Linked DNA regions of Lonchura striata. The protein of the gene in region 4 binds, or shares a complex with, the protein of the main gene of each other region. Links are inferred from orthologs where the notes say so. Each region holds a gene or a part of one and is shown on either strand. Other genes may lie near its edges. The genes, in order: STRIP2, STK26, STK24 and STRN.

What was found.
Region 1: STRN (region 4) and STRIP2 share a complex: the UniProt entries of both Homo sapiens proteins name them as parts of the core of STRIPAK complex. The link is inferred for Lonchura striata from reciprocal best matches to the Homo sapiens genes STRN and STRIP2.
Region 2: STRN (region 4) and STK26 share a complex: the UniProt entries of both Homo sapiens proteins name them as parts of the core of STRIPAK complex. The link is inferred for Lonchura striata from reciprocal best matches to the Homo sapiens genes STRN and STK26.
Region 3: STRN (region 4) and STK24 share a complex: the UniProt entries of both Homo sapiens proteins name them as parts of the core of STRIPAK complex. The link is inferred for Lonchura striata from reciprocal best matches to the Homo sapiens genes STRN and STK24.

Annotation. Positions count from the first base shown.
Region 1 is NC_134607.1:72,230,570-72,237,735, forward strand, and holds the start of STRIP2 (striatin-interacting protein 2), read right to left. Parts: upstream 3,018-7,166; coding exon 2,862-3,017; intron 1,338-2,861; coding exon 1,268-1,337; intron 306-1,267; coding exon 231-305; intron 142-230; coding exon 7-141; intron 1-6. Other genes in the region: AHCYL2 (adenosylhomocysteinase 3), read right to left, coding at 6,357-6,363. UniProt on the Homo sapiens protein: Plays a role in the regulation of cell morphology and cytoskeletal organization. Required in the control of cell shape. Calmodulin-binding scaffolding protein which is the center of the striatin-interacting phosphatase and kinase (STRIPAK) complexes.
Region 2 is NC_134616.1:7,630,368-7,637,583, forward strand, and holds the start of STK26 (serine/threonine-protein kinase 26), read right to left. Parts: upstream 3,017-7,216; 5' UTR 2,973-3,016; intron 2,868-2,972; 5' UTR 2,788-2,867; coding exon 2,746-2,787; intron 1-2,745. UniProt on the Homo sapiens protein: Serine/threonine-protein kinase that acts as a mediator of cell growth. Modulates apoptosis. In association with STK24 negatively regulates Golgi reorientation in polarized cell migration upon RHO activation.
Region 3 is NC_134604.1:77,898,991-77,906,568, forward strand, and holds the start of STK24 (serine/threonine-protein kinase 24), read right to left. Parts: upstream 3,017-7,578; 5' UTR 2,688-3,016; coding exon 2,646-2,687; intron 2,393-2,645; exon of another isoform or gene 2,207-2,392; coding exon of another isoform or gene 2,171-2,206; intron 1-2,170. UniProt on the Homo sapiens protein: Serine/threonine-protein kinase that acts on both serine and threonine residues and promotes apoptosis in response to stress stimuli and caspase activation.
Region 4 is NC_134605.1:33,757,788-33,765,290, reverse strand, and holds the start of STRN (striatin), read right to left. Parts: upstream 3,006-7,503; 5' UTR 2,913-3,005; coding exon 2,607-2,912; intron 1-2,606. Other genes in the region: HEATR5B (HEAT repeat-containing protein 5B), read right to left, coding at 6,412-6,716. UniProt on the Homo sapiens protein: Calmodulin-binding scaffolding protein which is the center of the striatin-interacting phosphatase and kinase (STRIPAK) complexes.

The DNA.
Region 1 (7,166 bases), on a different chromosome or scaffold from region 4:
CCTTACCCTGTGCCAGGTACAGGATGGCCCGTGCCACTCTGAGCCTCTTGTCCCTGTTGACCACCTCCAGCCCATCCAGCAGGCGCATGACGTAGGCCTTCTGCTGAGCCCTGTCCAGCTCCAGCCACCTCCTGTCCGGCACTGGAAAAGGGACACGGCCTCCAGCCGGGGGCTGCCCTGGGGGTCCCGTTCTTGCCCCAGGCAAGGGGTGCTGAGCCCAGAGCTGGTACCTTGAGTGTGAAAATCCTCCTCGAAGCATCTCCTGTTGTGGCTCAGCTCAGGCTCCTCGGTGTAGCTGTACAGCTCTGGTGGAGACAGGGGATCAGCAGGGACATGGAGGGGATTCACCCTCCTCCTCATTCCCAAATTCCTTGCCAAATTCCTGTGCACCCCGGCGGACACGGGACAGAGATCACAACTGGTCTCTGAGCTCTCCTGCAGCTCCAAGGGCACCTTGTGGCCACCCAAAGCCACCAAACTCGTCCCCGTGTCCTGGCGGGGCTGTTCCCAGCTCCCGCTCCAGCTGCATTTGCAATTTCATTGGGGTTTTTAAGTCTCACTTAAGAGTTTGGGAATGAAGGGAATGCAGGAACACCCAGGCAGGACCTGCACTGATCCCCCACCCAGCAGCTCAGACATTTTGGGTCTTGCAAATAAGGGCTGGACTTGGAGGGACACGATGTTGCACCTGCTCTTTGAAATTCCTGCCTGTTCCCATAGAATTCCTACTTGTTCCTATAGGATTCCTACCCGTTCCCAGAGAATCCCTACACTCCTGAGGTGCTGAGCAGCACCACGGAGGGCTGAAGCGATCCTGCAGGGAAGGAGGAAGGATCCCTTGCAGAGGAAATGTGTTTTTGCCAGGCCAGCTCATGCGGCGGAGATACACGGAGCTAAATATAACCCCATTTTCTCCGGAACGCGCTCGGGACCGGGGGCTACGGAGCAGAAGCAGCTGGAGCCGCCACACAGCAGGAGCACAGGGGACAAGGACAGAGCCGCCCGATGAAGGGTGACACCTCCCGCTGTCCCCGGACACTCCGCCCTCCTGCCAGCCCCGGCGCTGTGCCCGGGGTGATGGGGATAACCCCCGCGTCCCTTCCGCGTCCCCAGGGAGCGAGCGGCTCTCTCATAATAAACCCCACTTGCTCCGTTACCGCAGGGACGGCACCGCTCAACATCCATCCCCCATCCCGGCGGGATTTTCATTTTCCCTGCCCGCCGGGCGCCTGGAAATCACAACGCAGCACCCCAAAACCTGCCTCACCTGCCAGCTCAGCGCCGTGGCTGTCGGCGTCCCCGTACTCAAATTCCAGGTTGGGACAATCCACGGAGCCCTGCGGAGAGCGGGATGGGGTTAGGAGGGGGCTGGCACGTCGCTGGGGATATTTTGGGATGCGGGATGGCTGCCAGCGCTCGCAGCCTTTGCGCCAAAGCCGCTCCAGCCGCCGGAGCAGCGGCTCGCAGTGATGGATCTCCCGGGCTGGAGCGGGGAGTCCGTGCGCGGCCGCTTAAAACACGGCGGAAATGTGGAAGCCGTGTGTAAAAACAGCATTTCTCAAATCGCACGGAAAGCAGAGGCACCACACAAAAACGCCGCTGAATATCTGATGCGTCTCAGAACCCTGCACGCCCTAAAAACAAACCCCGGGGCCGGTTCAAAGCAAAAGCCCGCGGGAGGATGCTGCGGATCCCTGAGCTCCGTCCTCAGCGCCGCAGATCTGACAGCTCTCGGGGCCGGGCTTTGCCTTCCTGATCTCCCCCTCCTCCCCTGCGGATGAGGAACTGGAGCATGAAACTTGGCCGGAGGATTCCGGCGGGGCAGCGAGCAGGCAGCCGCAGCCAGACGACCCAAGGCCGGCACCGCGCCGCCCTGCCCCGGGTAAGGGAACACATGAATGGGTAATCAACGAAAATTAACATAATTCCCCATTCCGAGTCTCAGCAGCTCTCCTCGGCAGCCGGGCTGCAACTGATGCGCATCGTGGCGATTAATATTGAAGACTAGGAGGATGCGCGGCTCCGGGATGAGCACTTCTTGCTCAGAAACGCTGTTTTCTCACCCAATTTCTGCAGCCCAGCCGGCGGGGAGGCTCGGGCGGTTAAAGCTGGCGAGGAATTCGGCGAAGCGCGTGCAGCCCTAATCCGCGTTGAGAGACCGAGCCGGGGGAGCAAAGCAAACCCCAAATTCACGAGTTGAGAGCACGACTTGGACACCGTTCCCAGGGACCCTTTTGGGGTTAGGGGGCTCCAGAGGTGGCTTTACGGTGGCCGGGGACATCAGATCCCAGTGGGATCCCGGTGAGGCGATCCCGGTCCTGCTTCCCCAGCCTGGCACTCACGAAGCCGCTCGGGCGCAGCTGGGGCAGAGCAGCCCAGCGGGGTTTGGTGGTTCCCCCGCGCCCCGGAGTTATTGGGGCAGGAGGGGACAGCGGCACCCGCACCTCGGTGAGGGGCAAAGGGGAACCTGCAGAGTGTGGGGGAGCCCAGTGCCCAGGTGGGTCCCCAAAACCTTTCTGCCGCCTCTGGGCGTGGGGCTGGGAGGTGCCGGTGCTGGGGCTGAGCCAGCACCCCAAAACTCTGCAGCTGCGTCTGGGCGTGGAGCGGGGAGGTGGCAGTGCCGCGGAGCGCCCCTGGGGACTCCCGCTGCGGGCTGGGCACCGCAGGACGCTAAAGCCACCCCCGCAGGACCCCTAAAGCGTCCAGTTGGGGCCGGGGAGCACCCCCAAGACCGGGAGCACCCCCACTCCTGGATGAGGCTCCTTCCGCAGGAACCCCAGCCCCGGAGCAGGGAATCCCTTACGGCACAGCAGGTCCCGGCGGAGCCCGGGGGGTGCCGGCAGCGAGCTCCGCGCTCTTACCTCGGACTCCTTGCGCTGGCTCCTGAAGAGCTCCCGGCCCTTGGGCTGTGGCTGGGGTTGTGGCTGTGGTTGTGGCTGGGGCTGGGGCTGGGGCTGGGGCTGTCCCGGGCGGGCCCGGGCCGGGCCCGGGGCTCCGCCGCCTCCCGCCGCCTCCATCCCGCGGCCGCCGCCAGCACGTGGGGGCCGGGCCGGGCCACGCCCCGCCACGCCTATTGGTCCGCCGGGAGCGGGGGCGTGGCCTCAGGGCGCTCCCCCGCCTCGCCATTGGTCCGGAGCGGGACGGGGCGGGGCCCGGGGTAGCGGCGGAGGGGCCGGGATGATCCCGGGGAGATCCCGGGACCGGGGCTGGGCTGGAGGGGTCGGGAACGGGGGATGCTGGGGAAGGGATTCGTAGGGTGTCCCTGCACTGCTGGGAGGATGGAAGGAGGATTTGTAGGGTGTCCTTGGAGTCCAGAATGCTGCCATGGGGGCGTTGTGGGGTGTCCCTGGAGCGCAGGGGGCAGCAGGGCGGGAGCCGGGGTGTCAGAGGTGCCCGTGGGGTAACGAGGGGGTGGCCATGGATGGGCCGGGGGGCACCTGTGGGGCTGCACCCAAGGCACCCCAAGGCGTCCGAGCCCCGCCGTCCCCGTTTCGGTGCCAGGCAGCTCCCGGGGCCCTGGAGCAGGATTTCCATTCCCACAGCCAGTAATGGGGCCGGCTGGTTTTGGGGTGACTGTGCAGGTTTGTGGCCGGGGAGGTACCGAGTGGCCGATCTCGGTGCCCCTCATGTCCCACATCCCTTCAGAGCCTCTGGAGAGCTGGAAACGCCAAGGGTCGGGTCGGAATTTCCCGTGGCTGCAGCGAGGCAGGGCGGGAGCAGAGCAGATAACGGGATTGTTCCAGAGGAGATAACGGCACCGGGATCCTCCCCACCGCTTCCCAAGGACACAGCAGCCCAGGAGCTCAGACAGCTCCGGCTGCCCCAAGGACGCGGCCCCGGAGCCGCTTCCCCAGCTGGAATCATCTGGAAACAGCAGGAGCTCAAGGCTCTGGGGACAACCCCTCCCATCCCACCAGCATTCCTGATCCTCCTTGTCCCCCTCCGCCCCAAAATCCCGGTCTGCCCCCGCCTGACCCCAAGGACGCTCAGGAGAGGCTGAGTTTTCCAATGTTTTATTTGTGTTTTGAGATTACAGAGTCTTTATTGCTGATCTAATACAATCACTCAGACATTAATATTTAAAACATCCTTCTGAAATGTTATGGTTGCGACGTTTTCGTTTCCTCACTGCTGAGGACGACTTTTGTCTTATTATCTCTAAAGTTCAGAACAGAATTAATTTCCTTTATGCGATTTTGCTGGTGTTACCTAAAATCTCCTTTTTTCCTAAGTCTTGAAAAATGTGTTACATTTAAAAAAAAAAGAAACCAAACCCCATTACACGTTTAATTTAGAGATGATCATAGGATATGATTCCAGGTTGATTAGGAAAAAAGCCAAGCGAGCCAATAAGCTTTTACAGGAGAAGCAGAACATGGAGAAGAGCTTTAAAAATCGAGGTGGGAAAAGCCAGTTGGGATTTTAGTATTAATATATATATATTTTTTTCCTTCCTATCTACCTGGAAGATAAAAGGAGGTTAGAACAGGGCACGGAGGGATCTGGGGCTGTGCAGAGCAGGCACAGGGCGGGAGGCAGCTCTGGGGATGAGAGGGGTCAGGATGAAAGGGGCTTTTCCAGGGGGAAGTGGCTGTGCTTGGGTTGGGATGGGATTCCCGTTCTTCCCACAGCTGCATCTCCCCTGGGCCAGGAGCAGCTCCCAGAAAACAGCAGGGGCTGACAGACCAGGATCCAGCTTGGGGAGAAAGCCTTGGGTGTGATGTTTCAAAGAGCTCAGGGGATTCTTCCCAGAACATCTCGGGATCGGGGAAAAATGAACGAGCAGAGAGCGAGTCTGTGGTTAGCAATCAGTCTCCCGGAAGCTTCTCGAAGCCTGAAGGTCTCCACAAGGCCTTGGCAAAGCCCTGACGCCTTCCCAAGGCCCTCTTCAAGGTTTCCTCAAGCTCTTCTCAAGGTTTTCCTTCCTGATTTTGAGAGATTTCAAAGAGAAGCTTGGAATAAGCCGGCACATGGGAGCGTTTGCTCTGGAGAGGAGCGACTTGTGGCCAACCTGACTCCAAATCTCCTAAGAGCCGTGGGAAGGACGTGAGGATGCAATTCCTCCGTTTTCCCTTCCTTGTGCGTGAACGAGCTGCCACAAAAAAGTTCTCCATGATAGCAAAGAAGCCCAGGAGGACAAAACACGGATCTGCAGCCGAGGAGAGACTCCGGAGCCAAGAGGGAGGACAGAGGCTTCTGTGCTCAGGGGGCTGGGCAGTTTTATTTCAGCAGGATCACGTTCTCCACGAGGGACAGGAGTGACTCCGCGCGGACACCGGCACTTGGGGAGTCACCTTGCTACGGGTCACGCTGTCCTGTGCTCAGCTGGGACATCCTGGGATAAAACAGGGAACTCTGGCAAATTTAGTCTCCATCGGCTCTGACACGTCGAGGTGACCAAAGGGTTTCAGCGATGCTGAGGTGACCAAAGGGTTTCAGCAATGCTGAACTCTCCCCTCGCACGGAATCCGCGGGGGTCGCTCCGGCGGGCGTCTCATACATTCCAAAGGGGAATTCCAGATTCGTACAAATGTGAGCAGAAAACAAAACTCCGAAATTCAGCTGGAGAAGGACGTGGGTCCTCCCAGCCGGGCGGCCGGGCGAGCTCTGCTCGGCGTGGCGGAGCCGCCGGCGCGTGAGCAGCATCGGTGGGCGAGGAGCCCCTTCCAGCAGCGCGGGGCTGCCCCGGCCCCGCCGGGAACACGACTTTGGTTGATCCAGAGAGGTTGGCACTCGGAACGACAGCAGCAGGAAAACGCCGCGGGGCTGCGGCCAGGGGAGCGCTCGGGGATCTCCCCGGGCCGGCGCTGACCCTTGGGCACGGCTCCGGGCAGTGCTAAGGCGAGGTTCCCCGGCCGGGCACGGCTCCGGGCACTTCCAGAGCACACGGAGAGGCGGAGAGGCTTCTCTGCTCCCGAGGCAGCTCCGGAGCCCACGAGGAGTTTGGCTCTGTTGTCGAACGGCCGGGGATTCCCTGGCTGCCAGGCCGGGTCCCGCCGTGCGCGGGGGTGAGCAGGGATAAGGGACTATTCCACGGCTCGATTCCAGCAGCTTCCTCCTCGCCTTCCCCCTCCTCCCAGCCCCGAAAAAAGAACGAACCCAAAGAGGAAAATGAAAGGAACGGAAAGAAAATCCAGCGTCTCCCAGTCCCGCGGCAGGACGAACACCAGTGGCAGAGGCCACGTGAACAGTATCCTAATTTAATAAATAAATAACCTAAAACACACTGTCGACTATGGCAGCAAGCCCGGCTCTAGCGTGGGAAGCTTGCGCGGTTTCATCCTGTACAGTAGTTGAGAAAGACTCGGGTGCTTGTCGCAGCTCCTGGCGGTTCTCCGGGATGCGGCGGCAGGAACTCAGTATCTGGGGAAAGAAGGAAAAACGGGGCTTTGCCAAGTGGGGAAGGGATGAGGAGCTGCCCCGGCATCGCCACGGTGGATTTTGGCAGGGGGAGACGCCAAGGACAGAAATGGCTGAGGAAGGGACTCGGTCCTCGCCGCCCCCGAGGTGCCCATGGAAGTTGGAGGGGTTGTGGCTCCCCCTCAGCGCAGGAATTCCCGAGACCCTCGGATCCCAACCTCTCCAGGACAAACCTCGCTCCCAGCAAGGCTGGGCAGTGCCAGGCACCAAAACCGGGCACAGAGAACCGAACCAGAGGGAATCCCTGCACAGCCACGGGGAAGCACCAGGATTTTGCAATGGAAAAAAAAAGCTCAGGATCTGGGAAAACCCAGTAATCCCCAAACTGGGAGTGTTCCGGTGCTCTCTGCCTGCCAAGAAAATCCCTTTTCCAGCAGGAAAAGGATCTGGGCTTCACCCTCCCAAGCAGATCCACATTTGTGCAAAGCCATTTCATTTTCACAGTGGAAATTCAAGGCAGCGCTGGCTAAAAAATGTGGAAAGGGAAGCGATCCAGGGGCTCCTACTGAAAATTATGATTATTTTGGGGATCTGCCCAGCCTGTGCTCAGGAAGGAGCCGTGGAGCTGAGCCCGTGGGAGCAGCCCCGGGGCCGAGGCCGCTCTGTGCCACCTCATCCTCCGTCAAACTTTAAAAATAAAGCTGCCACCGAGCCGGTGGCATCGCGCTGGCATCTGCCACGTCTGGGTGACAGCTGCTGCCACGCACAAAGGGCTCCTGTCACCGCTCCGGCTGCGCCACCCCCTT
Region 2 (7,216 bases), on a different chromosome or scaffold from region 4:
AAAGTTACTGTGACATTACTGAATAAAACCTCAAACCTGACAATCAAGCTCACTGCAAACTGTGCTTCCTGTAACCAGGACACCTTAACTGTGCTCATTATCCTTTCCATTTTCCATCTCATCTTGGATTCTGCATAAAATGCCATAATTTGTGGTATCATGTTCAGCTTCAGACCACTCATGTTATACATACACTGAGTACCTGGATTTTACTGAATGGGCTTAGAAGTTAGGCAGCTGGCTAAGTTAACTCTGTACAATTGCACCAAGGGGAGCCTTTCCAAAGGAGCAAGGAAAATGAATGTGTTTAGGAAGTTGTCTGCAGAAGCAAGAATTGTTAGGTATAAAATTTGGTTTTGTTAGGGACACAAGACAGGTTAAACAGAATGCAACCACTACATAAACAAATGGCTCTGTAACTACTCATAAGGGCAACAGATAATACCACCTTTGGGTCTGCAATTGCTGTCAGGGGACTAAAGTCAAACTGCAAGTCCACCAAAATAACTCTCTGTGATTTTCTGTAATTTTCCATGTTTGAGTTTTTTTAAAGGGGACCCGACTCTTCATAAGGTGAAAAATCTTAAAAGAGTCAAAAAAGCATCTGATATACTTTGGTAATAAAATGTCTTAAGGTCTGGTTTTGGAGTATGGAAATTACATAACATGTTTGTTTTTGTGTTTTTCTTGATTTTTTTTTTGTATAATCAAATGTAAGGGAAAGCATAAGATGACAGTAAAGCTGAAAACTTCAAACTTGTGACATTCTCTGACAATATCACTGTGACTATTCCACAGTGGTAGTTTTAACATAACCATTACATCTTGCATCACAGAGGAACCTGTTTATTCCTTCTTTAATCAATCACCACCCACCTACTTTAACACTGAGCAGAAGCAGGCACGCTTTTACCATTACTTAGATGATCCTGCCTGAATAGTCCAGATAGGTTAAAAAACCCCAAAGGAAACTCCTCCATCTCAGACTGTCATGAAGTTTTTGTGTTTGGGTTAGGGTTTTTTAAAAATGAAAACCCTCTGTATTAGGACTCTTCTAGAAGGATGAGCAGATTAATATCACACCAAATTCTATTTTTTTGTATTCTGAGGGTTTCAGGACTTGTGTAATCACGTTCATAAAAAGATGGCCACCAAGGGAAAAAGTGTGTTTTAATTCTATGCATCTGGATTTATCTAATAGTTTAAAAAATGTTTTTAACATACTCATATATGTTAAGGGCTGTGAGTTAAACTACTAACAATACTAGTGGGGATAAGGATGCTACTAGGATAAAGTTTATTGGTGTAACAATGAAAAAAACAGAACCTTAAATAATTTCAAGGTCCTTTTGTGTTGGCAGTTACAGAAAATAGAACAGCAATACATTAAGCAGATATAAAAATAGGAAATTGACAAACTAGAATGTTGAAACAGAAGTTTCCCAAATACAAACACACTAGAAAGCCCAGAGGCTGTAATTAAAGAAGCTCAGACTAAAGCCTTTAAATCTTTTATAACAAAATTTCTTTAAGATGTTCTAATGCAACAGTTATTCTGACACAATGGAACAACTAGGCTGAGCAGATGTGGCTTGTGATCTCTTATAGAAACAGAAAGTCAGTGAATTACCACAATTTAACAGATTTCAGAAAGCCTAGAAATTATTAGAAAATAGAAAGGTAAACTAAACCATAGCATTGTAACAGGCTTATACTTATAAATATGTAAATACTGTTTATATATCAATTCTACACTTTGTAGAAGTCATAAAGTTACCTGACCAAAAGATATATTTCTGTTCTGAAGCCTCCTGAACTCTTTACTGTATCTCTCACGTACACAGAAATGTATCATAAATGTTTCTGTATTTGAACTGAAAAAAACCTCCGATGTTATACAGGTATGACTATCCTAGAAGTTAAGAGAATGCTCAAAAACACTGACTGGGCTGCCAGTACCTGACAAGAAAAAAAATCAGCACTGAAATTAGCTAATCTTTACATTGATAAAGATATCTGGCTAAATTTGTATCAGATTGTCCAGTGGAGTAAGAATGAAGAGTCAGAGGTATTCCACCTTTCCTATGAAAGTCAGTAACACACCAACTTGTTTGTTTCCTAAGCAGGTAACACAAACATAGAAAAGTGACACCAGGCCTGATTCCCAGGCGAGGAGAGGTGCAGGTTTCTGACAGACTGCGTTCGCCGGTGCTCTGTCCCCACCAGACCTGGCGGATACCACCTCTCCGTGAATCCCAAGGTCCTCCGGGAAGCTGCTCTACAGGCCCAGCGCCAGGATGGTGGGGAAGTCCTGCTGCAGGTCCGCCTGCCAGCGCGCCTGCTATGTCATTTACAGCGCACCCACACACCCTGCGATTAACTTCACTTCGCCTTTAATCAGTTTTAGAGGCTCTTACGTGCTCCTGGATGCGGCGCGGCCACCCCTGAACAAAGGGAGGCATGGAGGGAGGGGGATCCCTTCTCCTCCGCCGGGGTGCAGGTACGCGGCCCCCGAAGCCTCCCGTTGCCTCGGAGCAGCCCCTGCTTCCCTCCCTGCCTCGCTCGCTGCCCCGGCGAGGCGGCGGCCCGGCCTGCCCCGGCCCGAACGCGGCCTCCCCGCGGCGCTTCGCCCACCCGCGGCCCCCCGCGCCCCGGCGGCGGCTCCGCCCGGTGCGGGCCGCAAGCGCCGCTTCCGGAGCCGGGCCGGGCCCGCCGCCTCCATTTTGGGCCCGGTGCGGAGCTCACCTGCATGCCGGGCACTTGCACCGCCACGGGCGAGTGGGCCATGGCGGGCTGCGGCGGCCGGGCGGGCGCCGCCCGCTGCTCCCCGATCTCGGCCTCCTTCTCCTGGGCGGCGGCGGCGGGGCCTGGAAGGACAAAGCGGCGGGGAGGCGGCGGCTTCAGCGCGGGCCGCGCTCCCTCCTTCCCTCCCCGCCCTGCCCGCCGGCCCCCGCCCGCCGCCGGCTCCTCACCTCGCGGCCGCGGGGCTGCGCTGCGCGAAGGGCGGGCGGGGGTCGCTAGCGCCGCTGTCCCCTGCCCGCCGGGCTCCCCGCAGCGGCCCTGCCCATGCCCCGCTCCCCGGTCCCGGCGCGGGGGCGGCTGCTCGGGGCCCCCCGGGGTGGCGGCTCTCGGCGCGGCCGGGGCTGGCTCAGAGCGCCATGTCGGGCTCCGGCTGCAGGCGGCGGCTGCTGTGCGGCGGCTGCTTCCGTCTCGGCTCCGGCCTCGCGGGGCGGAGCCGCCGCACGGCCCTGGCGTCACGGCGCCCGCCTCCCCGGGCGGGCCGGGGCCGGGGCCGGGGCACGGCCGAGGGAGGGGCCGCGGCTCCCCTCGGCCTCAGCACGGCCCGGGTCGCGGCCGCCCGGCTGTCACAGAGTGACCAGCGTATAGCTTGGAAAAGATTTCTGAGGTCATCGAGTCCAACCGATGGCAAACACCACTTTGCCAACCAGACAAGGGCACCGAGTGCCACGCTCAGTCTTTGCTTAAACACCTCCAGGAACGGTGACTCCACCGCCTCCACGGGCAGCCCGTTCCAAAGCCTAATCACCCTTTCTGTGAATAAATTCTTTCTGATGTCCAACCTAGGCCTCCCCTGGCACAGTGAAGATCTCATCCCCTTGTCCTGTGGCTGGTTCCCCGGGGAAGAGCCCGACCCCCACCTGGCTCCAGCCTCCTGTCAGGAGCTGCACCGAGCAGCAAGGTCCTCCCTGAGCGTCCTTTCCTCCAGGCCAAACACCCCCAGCTCCCTCGAGAGCTCTCATCACACCCGTGCTCCAGGTGCTTCACCCATTTCTACTGCCCTTCTCTGGACCCAGTCCAGCACCTCAGTGTCCCTCCTGAACGCAGAACTGGACGCAGCACTAAGGTGCAGCCTCTCCAGCAGCAATGCTGACCCCTTGGGTGCTGTCATGGGGTCCCTCCTGCACAGTCACAGCGCTGCTCCTTGGCCCCACTGTCCCCAACACCCCTGTGCCGCTGGCTCCTGCACCCCGGAGACACAGGGTAGTAACCGGGTACAAATAACTGAGGGAATATTTGATGGGGTTTACTTGCTTTTGTGACAAAAGTGGTGATGTCTTCTTGTCTCAGGGGTGCTCCTGACAGCCAGCTGTGGCAGAGGTGGTGAGGGCAGGTCCAGTTGGTCTTTGGAGGTTCAGCTCCCAGTTCAGGGTGGTTGGCTCTTTCTTGGCTCCCCTGGGGGTGTTCCCCCCTCCTTGGGCAGCTCTCCCCACTCTGCACCAGCTGCTGCAGGGCTGTCCCAACACATACCTGTGTCCTTCACCACCACCACCTGCTTTCCTGGTGAGTTGGGCTGCCCCAACATTCTACCAGGGCCTAGAGAGGGGAAAATAACAGTATTTTTGAAGTGACTTTTTTCCCCATTCATGCATGAGTCACACATTAGTGTGTGTGATTCATGTTCCTATACATGTAAATTTTGCCGGTTACTAAAGCAAATCTCAAACTGACATCTTTTATGGCACTAGTCTTCCCCAGAAGCCCATTGACCAAGAGTACAGAAATCATGGATCCATCACAAATATCCTCATGGGTATGCGAAGGCTTCCCTCAAATTCACAGGTTTCTAGATCTAAAAGCCAAGAAAAAGTAAGGTAATCTGGAGGTGTTGGGTTGCTGGCCATACCACAGCTATCCTGCTGAGAGGGTGGGTCCCTTCAGAAAGGATGTGACAGCAGGCAGTCTCCCTCTCTTAGGACTTAGAGGAATGTTGCACTGGGCAAGGAACACAAAACACCTCTGTTTAAGGTAAGGTTGTGTGAAAACAAGCTGAAGACAAGAATTTCAAAGTTAGGCAGTCTTTCCATCCTTAACTCACTGTGGTTTGAACCAAAAAACAAACAGTAATGTTTGTCAAAGACGGGCTTGTGGATCGTGGTGGAATACTTTTTTTTCAACTTGCCAGTTTGTTAAGCCTTTACTGTTACTAAAGTGTTTACTTTCTTCTGCACCTTTTTAAAAAATAGCATGACTTAAAAAGGCTTCTGTGTTTTAGTTATACATCTAAGTTACTTATGAGCCTACCTGGAGTCCATTTTAATGTGCGGAATGTTTAAGGTAAGTATTTTCTGAAAGTTGATACCATATAATTAAATTCAAAAATGTTTTCCATTAATAAACTTCTGGAAAGAAATGGGGATTTCTACTGACAAAAATCTTTAATTATGTACAGTGGTTCAGCAAATAAATGAATGAATATTCACTCATGGTACTTTTGAATCCTGGCCTGATTCATTCTGCTCAAATATACTTAAATCACTTCTCCTGCTAGCTTTTAATAATCTTTAGAATATAAGCCCTGAAAAAATCCTGACAAATGAAATAGGATGATTTTTATTTCATGCTGCTACTGCATTGCAGACCTGCTGCTCCTCTTCTGGTTCTGAGGCTTTGCTTTTCTCTTTCTATCCATATATTACCTTGATTTTTCTCTCCAGATTCCTGCTAATTGTTTATCTCAGCCTTGTCTTGATGCTATACATATTTTCTCCCTGTTTACTTTGTACCAGAGACTACTAATTGCCAATCCATTCTTCCTATTTTGGGGCCACATACTGTGACTTTTGGCCTTTTATGTATTTCTGACTTGCATGCAGATTAATATAACATGAAAGGGACTGTAGTAGATTTATTTAAGAGAGTTCTAGTTCTGGTCTTGCAGGACAACTGTGAATCATGTGATAAGGTATTCTCCCCAGAAAGTACATCTATAGCTGTCTTCTGTGCATGGCAGGTTGACTAAGGAACTGCAGTGACAAAAACACAAAGAAAAACATCCTGTGAAAAGTCAGGTCGGAAAGCCCAGGAATGACATGGTGAGCTGAGCCAGGAAGGAAAACCTGTCAGGGAATCTTAGGTAATCAGCTGGTCATGCAATGACTGAATCATTGAGCCAGGCTGTGAAGTGAGGTAGACTGGCACCATAACATCTAAGAAAAGGGCTGTAATATTGTATTCCCCTCTGTAATTAGCAAATTCTAGTTTGTGCATTAAGAAAGACAGGTGGTCAGTTGCTGATATTGCTCTATGAAAGACCTTTCCTTCTCCCTACCAGCCTGCCCTTTAAATACTTGGTGCTGCTGTTTTCCAAGACTTAAAATGTGTCTATAATTCACTTAGGACAGCTCCCAGGGCCTCACAGTAGTAATGTGACCCAAGTCAGACCTTCAACTGTTTCATGTTTTTTAACTACTATTTTTGTTTGCTGGTGTGAAAATATAATTATTTTTACATCAGAAGACTTCAGGGAGCTATCAAAACCATGCAGCTTTTGGAGAGTGCCTGCACCATGTTAGTTGCTTTAGACCTACCACAAAAAGTGGTAGAAATGTCTCTTAAACTTTCAAACATAAATGAATAAAACAAAAATAGAGTGTCAAACATAAAAATACTGTATTTTACAAACTCCAAGGACTCCTTACAGTGGTATACTGGGGGGAGGGAGGGAACAGGTGTCTGATCTGGTTCTAGCAGAGCTGATGCAAACTCACACATCTGTCTAAAAATATGATGCCCAGTTTCTATGTATCAGGATGGATATGGGTGTTGCAAACCCTTCAGTGCCTTTGCAAAGTTCAGCTGGCTGGTGTTGCACTGACCTGGGCTTGTGGTGCCAATCCCATGCAATGCATTTAGAGGCACCCACAATTCTCCTGCCTGGCACCTGTCTCTCAAAAGAAACAGCACAGCTAAAGGGTTTCCTATAGAAGTGGCATACAGCATCCCAAACCAGTAACTTCAAATGCCTTTCATGTTTTTGAGTCTGAAACACCTTGCCAAAGATGTTGTGCAAGCTAAAAGTTGACTGGAATTAGGGGGGAAAAAGAGCCACATATTTATTTTATTAATGAGAACATCAGTGATGTCAAAGGAAGAATTAAAATGTTTTTTTAAGAACATAATTTCTCAATCCATTGACATAAATCAGTCTCTGATTCATGGGCATTAGGTAAATCACTTTGTCTTCAAGGCAACTTATTTAGGATCTTCAGAATTTCCAGCACTAGAAGCTGCTGATACTCACTAACTCAAGGGAGACAAACGTAGTCCTTGTCAATCCCTTATTACAACTTCGACATCTCTGTATCCAATAAATAATTTAAAATTACAGAGCCTTGAAGCTGGACTAGAACCCAGACCATTGTACATTCACTTCTGCTTACCACCTTCATTCCCATGCCCAGAACACATCTTGTCT
Region 3 (7,578 bases), on a different chromosome or scaffold from region 4:
CATAAATTTATAAACAAAGTACTTGATTTAAAATACAGCTTCCTTAAAGAAGCTCCATAAGCTTGCCACAGCCTTGAAATGCAAGCCAGTCTGAAAATCAAGGTCGTATACACTTACTCTGAGCCAGTCTTGCAGGAATCTCACACGTTTACAGGCAAACACACACTCTCCTCAGGCCACTTCATGAGGCATGAAGAAGCAAGACAGCACATCCTCAGTTTAGTCATGATGGATCTTCACCCTGCACACTCAAACTCGTATCTACACAGAGCCCTTAAAACAACAACAACAGAAACTTCAAGTCTGAACTTAAACTGCACAGACAGAAATTTAGGTCAAAACCCAACTCTATTTCAATTCAGGTTACAGCATGCCCATTGTGCAGCAGACAGCAAATCTCAGGTTTTGACAACCTTCCAACACCATCCTACATTTCCTCCACAGTTTCTCATTCCTTTGGCTCACTTTCTACCCACTCACTTTTTATGCATCACTCTTCAAACATGGATCAGACATCTTGCTTAGGTGGAAATATATTAATCATTCATTCCTCTACTCTACTGACACTACCATGCTCAGGCCAAACAGCGTTAATAAAAGTGATGTCCCTCCAAGTGATTTTTTGGGGTTAAGAAGTTACCCTGCTCACACAAGCACAATGGCTGCTCTCTTGTGTGAGTACAGCAAAGAATGTCAGAGAAAGCTGCATAACTTGTCACTGACACTGCTTCCACCGTTTGTGGCAGAAGCTGGTAGGTGGGGAGGAGGGATCACACTACAGAAAAAGAAGAGATGGTCCCGTGATTTAGGCAATTTAATTATAACCCAGAGAACTAAGCTATATTCCTCTCTTCTACACAACAAAAAAGTCCCAAATCTTTTTCTCATCTAAGCAGCTGTCACACATGGTATGTACTTTACTCTTTGAACATTTATTTGGAAGTGAAATCAAAGAGAATTGTGTACTGAGAACAGACCACTATAAAACTGCTATATATTCTGACAGAATGGAAATGGATACAGACATCTTGAACTGGGCACAGAAAATTAGTGAGCAGCATTCACATTGCTCACAGAATTTATGCCTCTACCTATCGGCAGATCTCTGGTTTGGTGTTCTGGGGGTTTTCTTTAGACTATGAAAGTTTACACTTGAGCAACTCAAACAGTAACAGAATAAAAATCATGAGAAAAAGAACACCATTTTGAATAAAATTATTTGAAGCAAAGTCCCAAATTATGTGGACTAACAAGAACCCTGAAGAGCCACACATTCAGGAGAGCTAACAGTACTACAAACCAAATAATAAACCAAGCCAATAAAAAGCACAAGTCCTCAGATCATGCAGTGGCATACATCATCAGTACATGCATACTGATGGAATAATCTTCGTTCTCTCACTTACAAGCAGCTACAAATCTGATTTTTAAATGCTAAAGTGTTATAGGTTCTGTCTCAAAGCAGGCAGTTGTTTTAGTCTAATATGTCTCAAGGGAATTTTTAAAAAGCCCAAACAATATCCATAGTCAATCAAGAAACCATTTCTTTGTCTCTGGCAATCGGCAAACTGCTCATATTTGAAAGGTGAACTGGAACTCTCAACAGCAGGACCTACACAGCAATAGATTACTTAGCTCAGAGGGTGGGCCTACGTAGGCTACAGGGCATCCACTACTATGTATGAGCACATAATTCATGCTATGCCTAAGCATGTAATATTTTCAATTCAAATCTTCAGATTTTGGAAAGAAAAGAAATTAATGACTTAGAATCCTGACTCACAATAAAACAAACTATGGTAAATCCATATTTAACCAAGTGATGCACAAACACTTTTAATCCAGGAGACAAATTTAAGAGAAACTCTTACATGTCATTCATAAGTTGTCCCTTTGAAGATAAGGGCAAGAAAGTTTCTAATCGGATGTGGGGAATATTAGTATAGCAACACACAGATACCACTGACCTTAATGTTTTCCTGGCAGCAGTTGCCATTTAAATCAAGAAAATCGAGCTCAGACTAAGCCAGCTCAGTCAGCACAAAACCACACTAGTTATTTCAAATACATAGTTAAGACACAGAACGAGCAAATTCCACCGTGTAACAACAGCAGCTGACGAACTCTCGGAATCAAACACAGGAGCCAAACCCGATCCCCGAGCACCCACCTCAGAGCAGCACCACAGACACGGGCACTGCAGCATGCGCTGAAGGTCAACATTGCCAGGCCCTGCTTGTACCGACTGGCTTATGCATGCTTCCCCCACGCACCCCAAACTAACGGGGCCGAAAATCGCCCACTGAGCCGTGGCTGGCTTCAGGGATTAAAACACGGAGAACTGCCGGCCGGGGAGGGGGCCACACGGCACGCCGCGCTCCGCCCGCTGCGGGGACAGAGCGGCTGCCGAGGGCGGATGGAGGGAGAGAGGCAGGCAGGGATCCACCGGGCGGAGGGACCTCGCTGGGCGCCACGCCAAGCGCTGACAGCACGGTTCGTCTCCATCCCGCTCGTCCGCCCCCAGCCCGGCCGGGCCAGGGTCAAGAGCCGCTTTCTCCTGTCCCCCCAGCGCCGGGAATGCCCCTCTTTGCACCCAGCCCGGCCCGAGGTGCGCGTCCGTGCCCGCCCTTGGGGCAGCTGCTCACCTGCATCCCCGGCAGCCCCGCCTGCACGGGGGAGTGAGCCATGGCGGCGGCGAGGGAGGCCGGGAGGCAGCCGAGTCTCCTCAGGCGGCTCCAGGGCACAGAGCTGAGCTCATCTCCACGCTCCCTCTCACACAGCACCGCCGCCCTCCTCCTCCTCCTCCTGGCCCTTCCCCCGGGCGAGCAGCGCCTGTGCGCCGGCGGTGGGAAAGGGGCCGTCCCAAGCCCGGGCTCTCCAGGCCCCGTCACGGATGCAAAGGCGGCAGCGGCTTCCTCATCCCTCCTCCTCTTCTTCCTCCTCCTCCTCCGGGCCGTGCCGGCGACACGATGACAAACCTGAGGCGGGAGGAGGAGGCGAAGGAGGAGGAGGGGGCGGAGCGGCAGCGGCGGCCCCGCCTGCCGTGCGCGGTACCTGCCCGCGGGCCGCCATGGGCGCGGCCGGGGCCCCGCGGCCGGGGCCGGGCTCGGTCGCGGTCCCGGTCCCGGTGCCGGTGCCGGTGCCACGGCCGGGGAACGCACCGCAACCCCGGTGCTCCGCAGAAGGAAGCGCTTGGCTTCCTGTCAGAAGCCGCAACCCAAAATGCCAGTCGTGCTTCTCCTGTAGTTCCCAAGCGGGAGCACAGTGGGTCAGCACTGAGGTCTCTCCCACACAGGAGTTCTGCGTACATGCAAATCCCTCGAGAACTCGACAATGTTCTATTCTTTGTTACAACTGGAATTTAACAGCGCAGTCGCACAGCTTCCCGTGTGCCATGGAATGTCCTAAAATTCTCTCATTTTTCCGCCCCGGCAAAAAAACGTAGGGAGCTTCATGAGTGTTAAAAGTTTTTGAAACCTGTCAGCCGGTAGGTCTGGCATCCATGGGATAACGAGGCTCGCTGTCTTTCCAAGTGATTTTGTTAAATGATGTCAGCATCCACTGCAGCATAAGTTGCTTTTCACTTGATAATTCACTAGAGTCTGTACAAATCTCTTAACTGCAGGAAACATTTGAAAATAGAAAATGGTCTTATTGAAAATTTGGTTGGAACTTCCACTCAAGTTTTTCCTATAGTTTGGATAATCTTTGTTTTCTTATGTGGCTGAGTTAATGCCCAATCTGGTTTTCCTAAAACTTGGAGATACATAAATATTCCTAAGATGTCTATGTCAAAGTATTATTCAAATAAAATTAGCCAACAGCCTTATGCAGGTAGATAAGTGTACCCACACACAAGCACATTGGTGTTTTACCTGAGAAAATAAACTAAGTAAACTGGTAAACTAAATATATCAGCCCTTGAGTACAGTGAAACAAAAAGGGATGATGGCTAGAAACTGAAAATTGAAATATTGAAATTATTTTTTCAGTTGTTCATGAAGGAGTTGAAATTTTCTTTAATGCTGGGATAGAATGGAGATTCTGTGGGGTTTGGCTTGGTATGTAATTTTCAAAGAAATGTAAAGTGTTTTCATTTGTGTTCTATTTCAATCAAAAATCAAATAACAGTTATGAGAATCAGTATCAAAACTCTCTATTTTGATTGTTTTCTAAAGCATTTTTGCAATGTTCTTAAAAAAAAAAAAATGTTTAATTGCTCCACTGTTTGCAGTAAGTTTTTCTAACTTGCTAGGGAAAAAGTCAGTAGGCTACAAGTGAACCTTTTCCTTTGTCTCATGAATATCATTGAAATTCTGCTACATCACGTAATATTAAAAATCCTAATTGAGAAAATGTCAGTTTTACTATTGTTTATGCAGTTTTATTTTGTTGGGTTTTTTTCCTATATGGCCATTATGGATTTTATTAGTTGCTTTACTTTTTCTGCAGTTGCACATTCAGTGTGGAATCAAAATAAAAATTTCTCTTTTGTATTATGAAAGGTATACAACTGTTATTTTCTGTCCATGAGTATATTCTTTGGGACATAATTAATTTTCCCAAGGAAAATACTTGACTTGGTAGATTCTCTAGCTCAAGGCGCATAAGGACCGAAAATTTCCCACGCTGCTCTGAAGTGACTTCCACCGTGTAAGCTCCTGGCCTGGGGCCACTGTGAGGTCTTCCTGTTGTTTGTGTACCATCGTGGATTTATTTAATCTCAAGGTTTTGAAGTTATGCATGATATGTTCAACAAGATTCTGTGCCTGAAAAAAATATTGTTTGGGCTTTGGAATAAACTCTGTGGGCAGATTTACTTGCCAAATGCAGGAAAACAAAGGAGCAGATTCAAAACTCTTCAGTCACAAACCAGATACTAGTCCAAGTTCTAATGAAGTCAGAACAATGCATTAGAAGGTCTAATATCTTGTCAGCTTCTAAATTTTATACTGTAACTCATGTTATGATACACTTCCAATTTCTCCCAGAACTTGTAGAAACTTTTAAATAATTGTTTTGAATGTAATTTTAAAATAATGAATGTGTGTGTTTGCTGTTCATTTTGTAAATGCTAGTCTTTCTGTCTAAATTTCAGCTCCATCTCACAGACTTAATAACAGAAGCCTTTCAAATTTTCCTCTTGTTTTCTCAACCTTTTGTGGGTTTTTTAATCTTTTCTGAGAAAAAAAAAAGTGTATTATAGTCCAAAGAAAGGCTAGTCTTGAAGAATTATTTGTTAAATAGAATGATTATATGTTATGCTAGCCAACCATCCCAATACAATGACTGAGACTTCGGAAATAAACACTTCTTATCATTAAGACAGATCTCTGATGTATCTTTTTGAAGCCAGACGTTCCAAGCATTCAAAAATTCAATTTATTTTACATATCAACTTCTCAATAACTGGTTTGCTTTCAATTTAGCATAATACTTTGCATATGCAGAGATTTTCTGCCTTGCTGGTTATGTTTAAGCCATAAATTGTAACATTTCCATCTCTAACAGTAAGATAAGAGTTACAAAAGAAAAATATTACATAATTGTAAAGACTGTGACTGTGAAATTCTGCTTATAAATATGTGTGAAGAAAAAATGTTTTCCTTACTGACAAACACTGAAACTTCTCAAATGAACAATGTAAGGTCATTGGTGTTTTCTAAGATGAAAGGTACACCAGGTACCCAGCTCTTTTTTGATTTATAATAATAAGTGTGACTCTTGCCTGTATCACACAATTCACAGCAGCTTTAACAAGGATCTTCACAAATGGACCTTTAAGAATTTAAGTGTTCTTGGGGCAAGAGGGAAAGTCCTCACATGGGTCTCTAACTGAGGTTGGAGAGGAAAGAAAAAGACAAAAACCTTTCACAGTGGGGGGTGTTACCAGTAGGCTGTCGCAGGACCAAGATGGGACCCATCTTGCTCAGCATATCCATGACTGAGCTAGGAAAGAGACTAAAGAAAATTGACAGTTTCATATTGCCAATCATCATGAGGGGGAAACTAAAACAAAGCCCAATCTCAGAGTGCGTGACTGCTGAGTGACATGCCAGCAGATGGGGGTTCAGCAGAGTAGAAGAATGTCAGAATATGAGTGCTGTAAATATCCTCAATGTCACCCTACAGAAAAGCAGCTTTCTGGGAAAACTTTATAAATATGCAATATCTAAATCAGTGAATTAAACTCCAAAGGTATAAGTAATGTTCATTTCTGCACACTGAGTCATCTTGACTATGGCTTCTCTTTTCAGATCAATACCAAGTCCTTTAAGCTTTCCTTTCTGGGAGATCAAACAGCAACTTTAAGCTTTCCTTTCTGCTCAAACAGCAACTACTCTCCCAGGAAAGAGCCAAGGAACCAGACAAGGGTAGGATGCAATTTTATTTAAAAAATATATATCTTTAGTGATAAAAAGCACATTTTCTATAAATAACAAAAAATATCCCTGTGTTGCCCAGGACTGATATTTTCCCTGCCTTTGGCAGTATATGCACCACAAGATTAGTTTCTAGTGTACTTCCAAACTATGCAGCAATGATACACCTACAAATCATTGGTGTTTTCTCTGTTTCCACCAAAATTTTAAAATTTCAGTTTTCAGTTTCCATGTGAAAGGGTGTCCCTTCTACAAAGTTTGTGATGTAGCCTTTCTTCCTCTCAAGATGCCATGCAGCTGTGTATTTCTTCCAGCAGAGGAAGCTTGTGTAGTTTCAAAAGCACACAGCTTGCCTTCTACAGATAGATTTGGCTGTGCATTTATGTTCTGGTTCAACAAGCCACTTGTCAGAAAAAGGTTTTGTCAATTACAGAAGTAGAGCTGGAAATCCACAATGGCATTCTACTCTAAGTCTTGTGAATGCTGAAGGTGAAAAAATTTGGTTATTAAATTACATTCCCCAAAGAAAAAGCCTTTTTTTTTTCCTATGCTTGTATAAAACGTGCCATTTTGTATATATTTCCCTTCCTGCAGTGATGTTATTCTTATCATGCATAGAAAACGGCAGGTTTTTGAGATTTGTAATAGAAGAAAATTCACTTTCTTATAGTACTGAGGATCATAGTGGATAAGCCAGAATGGGGCAGGAAATGGAAGAAACATCTTGAGTATTATATGCTGTTTATTAATAATGAGCAGAATATAAGTGCCTGAAAGTATTTTCTTATTCCAGGCAGACAATTAAAATTAGATGGAGACCTAGAGCTCATTAAGAAACATGAGATTGATTTTACTGTCCTATGCCTCTGCCCCTGAAGAGCATCATTGCATTATATCTTGCTTTTTATAAGCCTTTTTCTTAGCCCCTTGTCACACAAACCAAACATATGCAAATGGAAGAAAACATACCTTCTATATCTTCTTCTCACATTTCACATTTTATAATGGAGACATCAGTTCTTATCTCAGGTTAATGTCTGTGTAGACAGCAGACTAGCAAACTCTCTGCACTAAATGGATCCATTAAGCATGACCTTTAATGGTTTTAAACTAAAATAGAGTCAATTTAGATTAGATAGAAGGAAGAAGTTTTTTACAAGGAGGGTGATGAAACACTGGAACAGGTTGCCCAGAG
Region 4 (7,503 bases):
TTACTAATTATGCTTACATAGATATAAATACTGAAGTCCTCTTTTGCCTTGAATAAGGAAGATTATATAAGAGGCAACAATAATTTCAAAAGGTTCAAGAAAAATAATTAGAAAATCAGAATAAGCATGAATATTTGCCAGGGGAATAAAAATACAGGCACTGATAGGGAAAAAAACCTTGGAAATGCAGTACTAGACCAATAACTAAGAACAGATTAAACTGCCTGGCCTGCTAACTCACATATATTATGAGCTTGTGTGTGTGTCTCCTGAACAAGTACCACAGAACACAACAGGAAGGTATTCTACCTGACCATCACATTTAGTTCCATGCAGTTAATTAGAAGGATAAGGAAAAGAGAAAATAAAAAGAAGCCCAGAGAGGAAGAAAAGGAAACATGGAAATCACAATGGGACTGACTTATGAGGAGTTTTTTGGAGAGAGGCTAGAGTGGAACTAACCAGCAACTACAGAGCAGAAGCCAAGCACAGTAACACTGTAATAAGGTAGTAAGTAATAATGTATCCCAAGTATTTCAGTATCATGGCTGGTAAGGAACCAGAGATAAAAGAAGTCTACCTCTTAGAAACAGATGAATTGAAGGAAAAAAATTACAGGATACCAAGACCACCATACTAAATAGGTCGTTTGCTCCACAGGCTCCCAAGAGTGGATGGATAATCTAGCACTGGAATTTGCACTGGATAAAAGTACAATGAGGAGTACTGCTTCTTTATCTTGGGAGAGAGAAACCATCCAACCTCAAATTTCCATTATTCTGTTAAACATTTCCAAATATACAGGCCAACAGAAGGCTTCAGAAGGAGCACAGACCAGGTCTTTAATTAACACTGCTCATGCTTCAGGTGTAAAATTTCTAAAAGCCACCCTGTAGTTGCTGAACCCATACCACAAACCTCTCACATGGATCCAAGTACATTCATCTGCAAATGGTCACAGCAGACGTTAACGCCTGATGTCTGTAGAGATAGCCAAGAATTTTGCACCTTCCTGAACATGACTCTGCAGCAGATAAATGCTGTTACAGCTCATGGCAATGCCAGCCACAGCTAATTATAACTTTATTGAGATGTTTTGGCAAGAGTCAAAGGCACTCAAGCAAACAACTTGTGATGGGGTTATCTGCCACTGATAATACATGACTTCTGCTAATAGTCTAAATACTCAATTTCTTTCCTCCTCTCTCATCTGTAACACCAAAATTTTGAGGGATACCTGGGGGAGAAGGAGGGATGTCATGCTGATGAAGAACACGATAAATATGCAGAGTGTTATTACTTTTAATATACTGACAAAATTTCCTAGGTCTGTAAAACAGATTTTTTTTCTCCAAAGCAATATTTGATATCTGAATCAGCTATGAATATATGTCAAGATATTTATGGGCCTCCACCAGATATACGACACATGAGGTTATTCCTATACATAGCTAAGCTAGTAACTTTCTACACAGTATTTACTGGATGTAGTGAATAGAAATATGATTCAGTTACTAACCAATTTCTCACTGAATCATGGAAGTTAAAATAAAAATTACTTTCTTGTTCTCATGACCACTTATTTTAAATTCCTACAAGGGAACTCTCATTAAAGAATGCCACACCTACCACTCTTCTCAGAGTGGTTGTTTGATGTTACTGTAGAAAGTAAAATTTAAAAGATGGAAAAATCAACCCAATAACCAAAAAAATAGAGAAGTGGTTTGCATTAGTAAACAGACTCAAGACTCTCTTGACAAAGACTGTACTTTCAAGGAAAGCCATAGAAAGAACAGATGGATAGGAAGAAAAAGACAAAGAAAAGAGATCTAAAAAAGAAACCCGTAGACACTTTTCCGTCTCAAACATGGCCAAACTAAAACCTAACAGTGGGTTGCTAGAAACATGGCCAGCGTTAACGTTTAACACAGGGATTTTCTTGTAAACAACACCAAAGAGGAACGAAGGCTGCATTATCGACTGTTATTGGTATCTGAGTATCTGAGAGCGACGGCTCTAGGCCAGCAGTTCACAAGTACTTCAACCACAAGATCACTATCAGTCCTTTCATGCATTAATGAGCATATCAGCCCCATCGCTTTTCAAACGAAAACGTGCCCCATAGTACCGAAGGGGACCCAGCCGGTCCCACGGGCCCGGCCCCCGTGCGGGTGGGGCGACACCGAGGGCAACCGCGGCACAAGCGGCGAAGCCGCGGCACAACGGGGGCGCGCAGCTTGCCGGGGGCAGATTTCAGCAGGGCTTCTGAAACTGGCGACACGCTGGGGCGGCCGACCCCGAGGGGCATCCGGAAAACTCAGTGGAGGAGGTGAGAGGGGCACAGCCGCAGGGGCCGCTCGCCGCCGGGCTGGGCCCGCTCCCCGCCGGGCCGCCGCCACGTCCCACCCGCGCCCGGCCGCGGCGGGGGGCGGCCGCCCTCGGGGCAGCGAAATAGCCCGGCCGGCCGCTCCCTCTCGGGGAAGACGACAAGCTGTGGCAGCGCCCAGGGCGGCCGCTCCCCCTCCAGCTACGCAGAGACGAGGGACACGGAGGGGGAGCGGCCGCCGGGGCCGGGCTGTGGGGGAGCAGAAGGTCGCAAGTGTTACCTGCAGCTCCGCCCGCTCCGCCTCCCACTCGGCGCGCTCCGCCTCGAAGCGGCCCCACTCGTGCTGCAGGAAATGCAGGATGCCCGGCACGCTGTATTGAGCCCGGGACGCCGAGAGCGGCGCGGCGGCTCCGGAGGCTGAGACTCCCCCTCCTCCGCCGCCTCCTCCTGCCGCCGCCGCCGCGGCCGCCGCTGCCGCCGCCTCGCCCGGCTCCAGCCCCGGTCCGCCCGCCGGCGGCGGCAGCAGGAGGGCGTTGTTATTGTTATTGTTGCTGAAGAAGACGCCGGGCCCCGCTTGCTCGTCCATGGCCGGGCCGGGTCCGCCTGGCTCGCCGCCGCCGCTCCCGCCGCGTCCCGGCAGCAGCAGCAGCAACAACCTGGGCGCGTCCCACCCGCCGTCACCGCCTGACAGCCGCCCCCGCCCGCTGCTACGGTGGCCCGTCGGGGACAGAGCCGGGGAGCGATTCGCCCCACCGCCTCGCGCGGCTTCCTGGGAATTGTAGTTCCGCTGGATGGCGGGGAGGCTCGCCGCCCTCTTCCCGCGACGTCCGTAATCCCAGGGATGGCGATCGGACGGCTGAGCTTCAGCGCCGGGACGTGCGGTCCGATCGGCTGGGCGGGGGTAGTCCCTACGGTGGGAGTACAGGTTAATGGCACCTCCACCTCCGAGCGGGACTGAAACGCTTGGGTTGTCCCGCAGCCCAGCCCGGTAACGCGGGAAGGGCAGGTGTCTCGCAGCAGTTCCCGCATCTCGCAGATGCTCCCGCCAGGCCCTGCCCTGGCAGCTCCGTCTCTTCTGCTTCGTCCCTGTTCCGAGCAGCGCTCGGCCTCTTACTGTCAAAAGCTGGAAAGCCTGCCCAAGGCTACAGGGGTTTCTTGAACATCGTTTCCGACCTTGGGAAGGAGAGCGACACAACATTTTTCAGGAATGGACACGCTGCCTGTTCTGCGAGGACAGGGAAAACAGGAGCGTATGGGATTGAGGGCGGAAGGTGTCGGCCGCACTGCCCTCTCCCCATGGCACTAAGGGACGAAGCTGGGCTCCCTTTCCGCGCCATGTACGCCCGAGCAGCAGAGCCTTGCTGAGGGCAGACGCAGGCGCCTCTCCATCGGGCCGTGCCGAAGGCCAGCACCGTGAAAGACATGCTGCGTGCCACCAAGGCGGTGCCGTGGGGCTCCCGAGGGCGCCGGGAACGCGCCCTGCTTGCGCCCTTGGCCGTGCTCCGGCGCACCGGGAGCGCCCCGCCGCCTTCTCGGGCAGCGGTGCCCGGTTCTTTGTGACTGCTCCGAAACCACAGCCGCCTGCTTCGTAAATAATCCTACCCGCGGAGCTTGAGCTGTGGCTGGCGTAACATCTCTCTGGGAAAGACCACTAAGGAAGCTTACTTAGAGCATACGGAGAGCAGCGGGGAACGGGAGCGAAAACTCGGGACAGGGAGTGTGATCTGGGGGACCTCGGCAAGGAACCCGTGCAGAACAAGGCTGACCCAGAAAAAAGGTAAACAGCAGAGAGATGAAAGATGTGAAGGGGAAGCGGAGCAAACGGTTTCATTAAAAAGCACATTTAAAAGGCTATTGACAAAGAAAAATATGAAAAGGAGAGTGACAAACAACAATAAGCACTACGGCCATTGCGAGTTACTTGAGTTTTTTTAATCAAATGGAATTGGATGCCAAAATATTTTGTAAAACCACATGACTATAACTTTAGTATCAGGAGCAAGCAGAGAAGCAAACGAGGACTAAACTGGGGAAGGATGTATACAAACAAGAGTTGTGCATGTTTTTTTGTGCCACACAAAATTCAAAGAAAAACCTCTCCCTTCTCTATTCCTCTACATCTATCTAGTGTAATTTTCTCTTCTGCTAACTTTTTTCTATAGTTCTACTGACTTCTTAGTTATGCTTGATTGCTACACTTCTCTCCCCTCTTCTGAGTTTTCAGATATCTGATCAACTAGAGGCTAACCAAAACTTAAAAGTGCTGAGAGAAAACTTAATGTAAACAAAACTATACACGATTATAGACAAAATCTTTCTAAGAAGTCATTAATTCCTAGACTACCTGGTGGAGGGGAGGGAATCTAAAACAGGTTATAAACTTGTTTTCTGTTTTACTTGCAAAATGTTTGTGTTGAATTTTGAACTGGAAGTTTCCTTAATACTTTCAAATGAAAAAAAATTGAAATTAGAGTATGCGTGTCCTCACTTTAGTACTAAAACATTCACTGTGAAATAAAAGCATTTCTGATTTTATGTTAAATATTTGCACACAGCCAATTTACCATAGGGCAAGAGCACTGTCTTGACCATTTTGCATAGATACTCAAAGGGATATTAGATAAGGTCTTAAAGGAAAATAGAAAGCATAGAGGCAAGTATGTATGCAAAAATAGTGATCTACAAATATTTTAAGCAGATATTAGTCATATTCAATTCTATTTACTATCCCTTTGTTATATTTTCAGTTGAAGCATCTGAAATATGCAGTTTTTACAGAGTATACAGAGAAACATCAGAGTTGAAATTCAGCAGGCCTTGGTTATGTTACTTACTTCTCTCTATAAAGCAAAATGTATGGAAAGATGCCTATAAAAGCCCATAAATTTAACAGCTGTGTCAAAAAATCCATGTAAGTCAGTCCTATATACACAAGAAAATACATAGTTCTGTACTTCTGCCAATAGGAAGGGTGAGGCCTGGCAGCAGACACACACTGGGATTCCCTGGCTGTGATGCAAGGTCAGCACAACACTTGAGCCCTAAGCCCCAAAATCTGCACATGAGACTCAGAGGTGAGGGGAGCCACATGCTTTTGAAAAATGCCTGGTAGGGAAAGGAAAAACTGGAGGAGCCTGGCCCTCGCTTGTATTCTGCCCCCTGAGTCAGTACAGTGCAATGTCCTCCAGTACCTCTGCTTTCCAACTTGACCAAGGACTGCGGGTATGATCTAGCAGGAAGGCTAAATACCTGAGTCTGAACAAAGGGCAGAGCACTGACTGATCACATATCCAACCAGTCGCTGGCAGAACTGGAAGACTGCAAACACAGAGCACATTATGAAGGCCAAGATCTATACCTACAAATGCAGATAGAAGGCAGTTCTCTTTATAAACTCAATTTCCAGTGCATTCTTTACATTCAAAGAGATAGGGGATTAGATTCTTTGCATCCTTTATTCATTTTCAAGCATGGGAAAGGATTGGAAAGAGATATACACCACATAAATAACGACAACTCATTAAGACAGCATGCTTGATCATTCACCTTAAGAAAGGCTGAAAATTTTCAATTATTTTGTTGTGGGATTTTGGGTATTTTTTCATGCAAGCTGAAACAATCTACGAAGTCCCCTTCAGTATTATTTTTTTTTAATAAAAGGAAAAAATTCATACTTCTACACTAGAAATTCCCCATGGTAGAGGGTAAGTACTTCATAACAGTTTTTCCTCTTCTCTCCATCCCCACTGTGCTAGTGTGTTGGGACAATGGCAGGATAACAATCACCAGAATTCAAAAACCACTCAAGGGTTTGAGATAGCTTTTAAAAAGAAATAAAACTATTTAGATACATAATAATTTTTGGTGAATAATTTATAACAGAAATTCATAAATATGATCACAATTTCCTAAAAATCTATACAAATACAAGTAACACTACTTCCCTTGTAATGCATGGATTTCAAATAATTACACAAAGCTCCATCAGACAGTCTTTCACATACAAATTACACAAAATTAGACATGTATGTAGGGATAATGCAATGCTTCTGACTACTTAATGGTCCAAAATTAATAAAAGTAATTCAAAAAAAGCTAGTTTTCAGTTTAATTGTCGGGGTGGAATGTACTGTGGGTGCTGGTTGCCTAGCAGCTGCTTTTGCTTTGCTGGCCTGGCTTGCTCGGACTGCAGTTTCTAGACGTGTTTTCAATTCAGGAGCAGCTCCCATTACTGTCTTGAAAGCATGTGGATAAAGTGGACCAATGTGCATTAGATTCTGAAGTGCAAACTCGTGAAGATCCTTAGATGCTGTAGATGCAGAAGCAAAGGCATTTTCATTCAGTAAATAGGAGATCAGAGTGGGAACGAGAAGGGCAAGCAACTGTACTCCTAAAAATGAAAGAAAAAATGTAATTACCATATCAGAGAATGAAACAAAAAAAAAATTATTAGTTATTACACAGATAAGGAAGGGTAATATTGTTTTCAGAACTGACATTAGAAACTGTAATCAAAAAAATTATCAAATTAAAACAAATGAAATGTAGATGGCTTCCTGTGCTTTGATCACTCTACTCTGTCTTACCAGGACTGGATTTAAGATTTCTATTATTGTTCATTACAATTATATTGATCCTGATGCTTATTTTGAGATGCTTTTGCACCATCCAATTGCAGATCACTGATGAAAGATTTTAAGATGTAGAGTACCTATCATATTAAAGGATTTCAAAACACTTTTCAGGCAGACAGAAATGTTATTCAATTGAATTTGAGTATTCACCTCCCCAGCGAGCATAAGTGAACTGATACCAGAATGCAAGTGTTCACAAAAAAGTCAGGGACAGTTATCTGCAGTTATTTATGCTGGACTGGTCTGGGAGATCCTAACTCAAAAACCAGCAGGGCAGCTATACTTCAGCTAGCATGACCTAGTAAGGCCACAGCCCAAAATGGCAAAGGGATCAAGAGGGTTGACCTTGAGAACAAAAAAGGCAGCGAAACTTAAGCAACAAGGCAATTTTTTGTATCTAGTAAGAATTTAAGTATACCTTTGAAATGTGTAACCTGGTAATTGTACATTTTAAGTCCAAAGAATTTAAAAATTAATGGTAACTCATTTATCTAAATTGTTTTAGATTACCAGAGTATTAATTATTTTTCATTATAGGTTCTG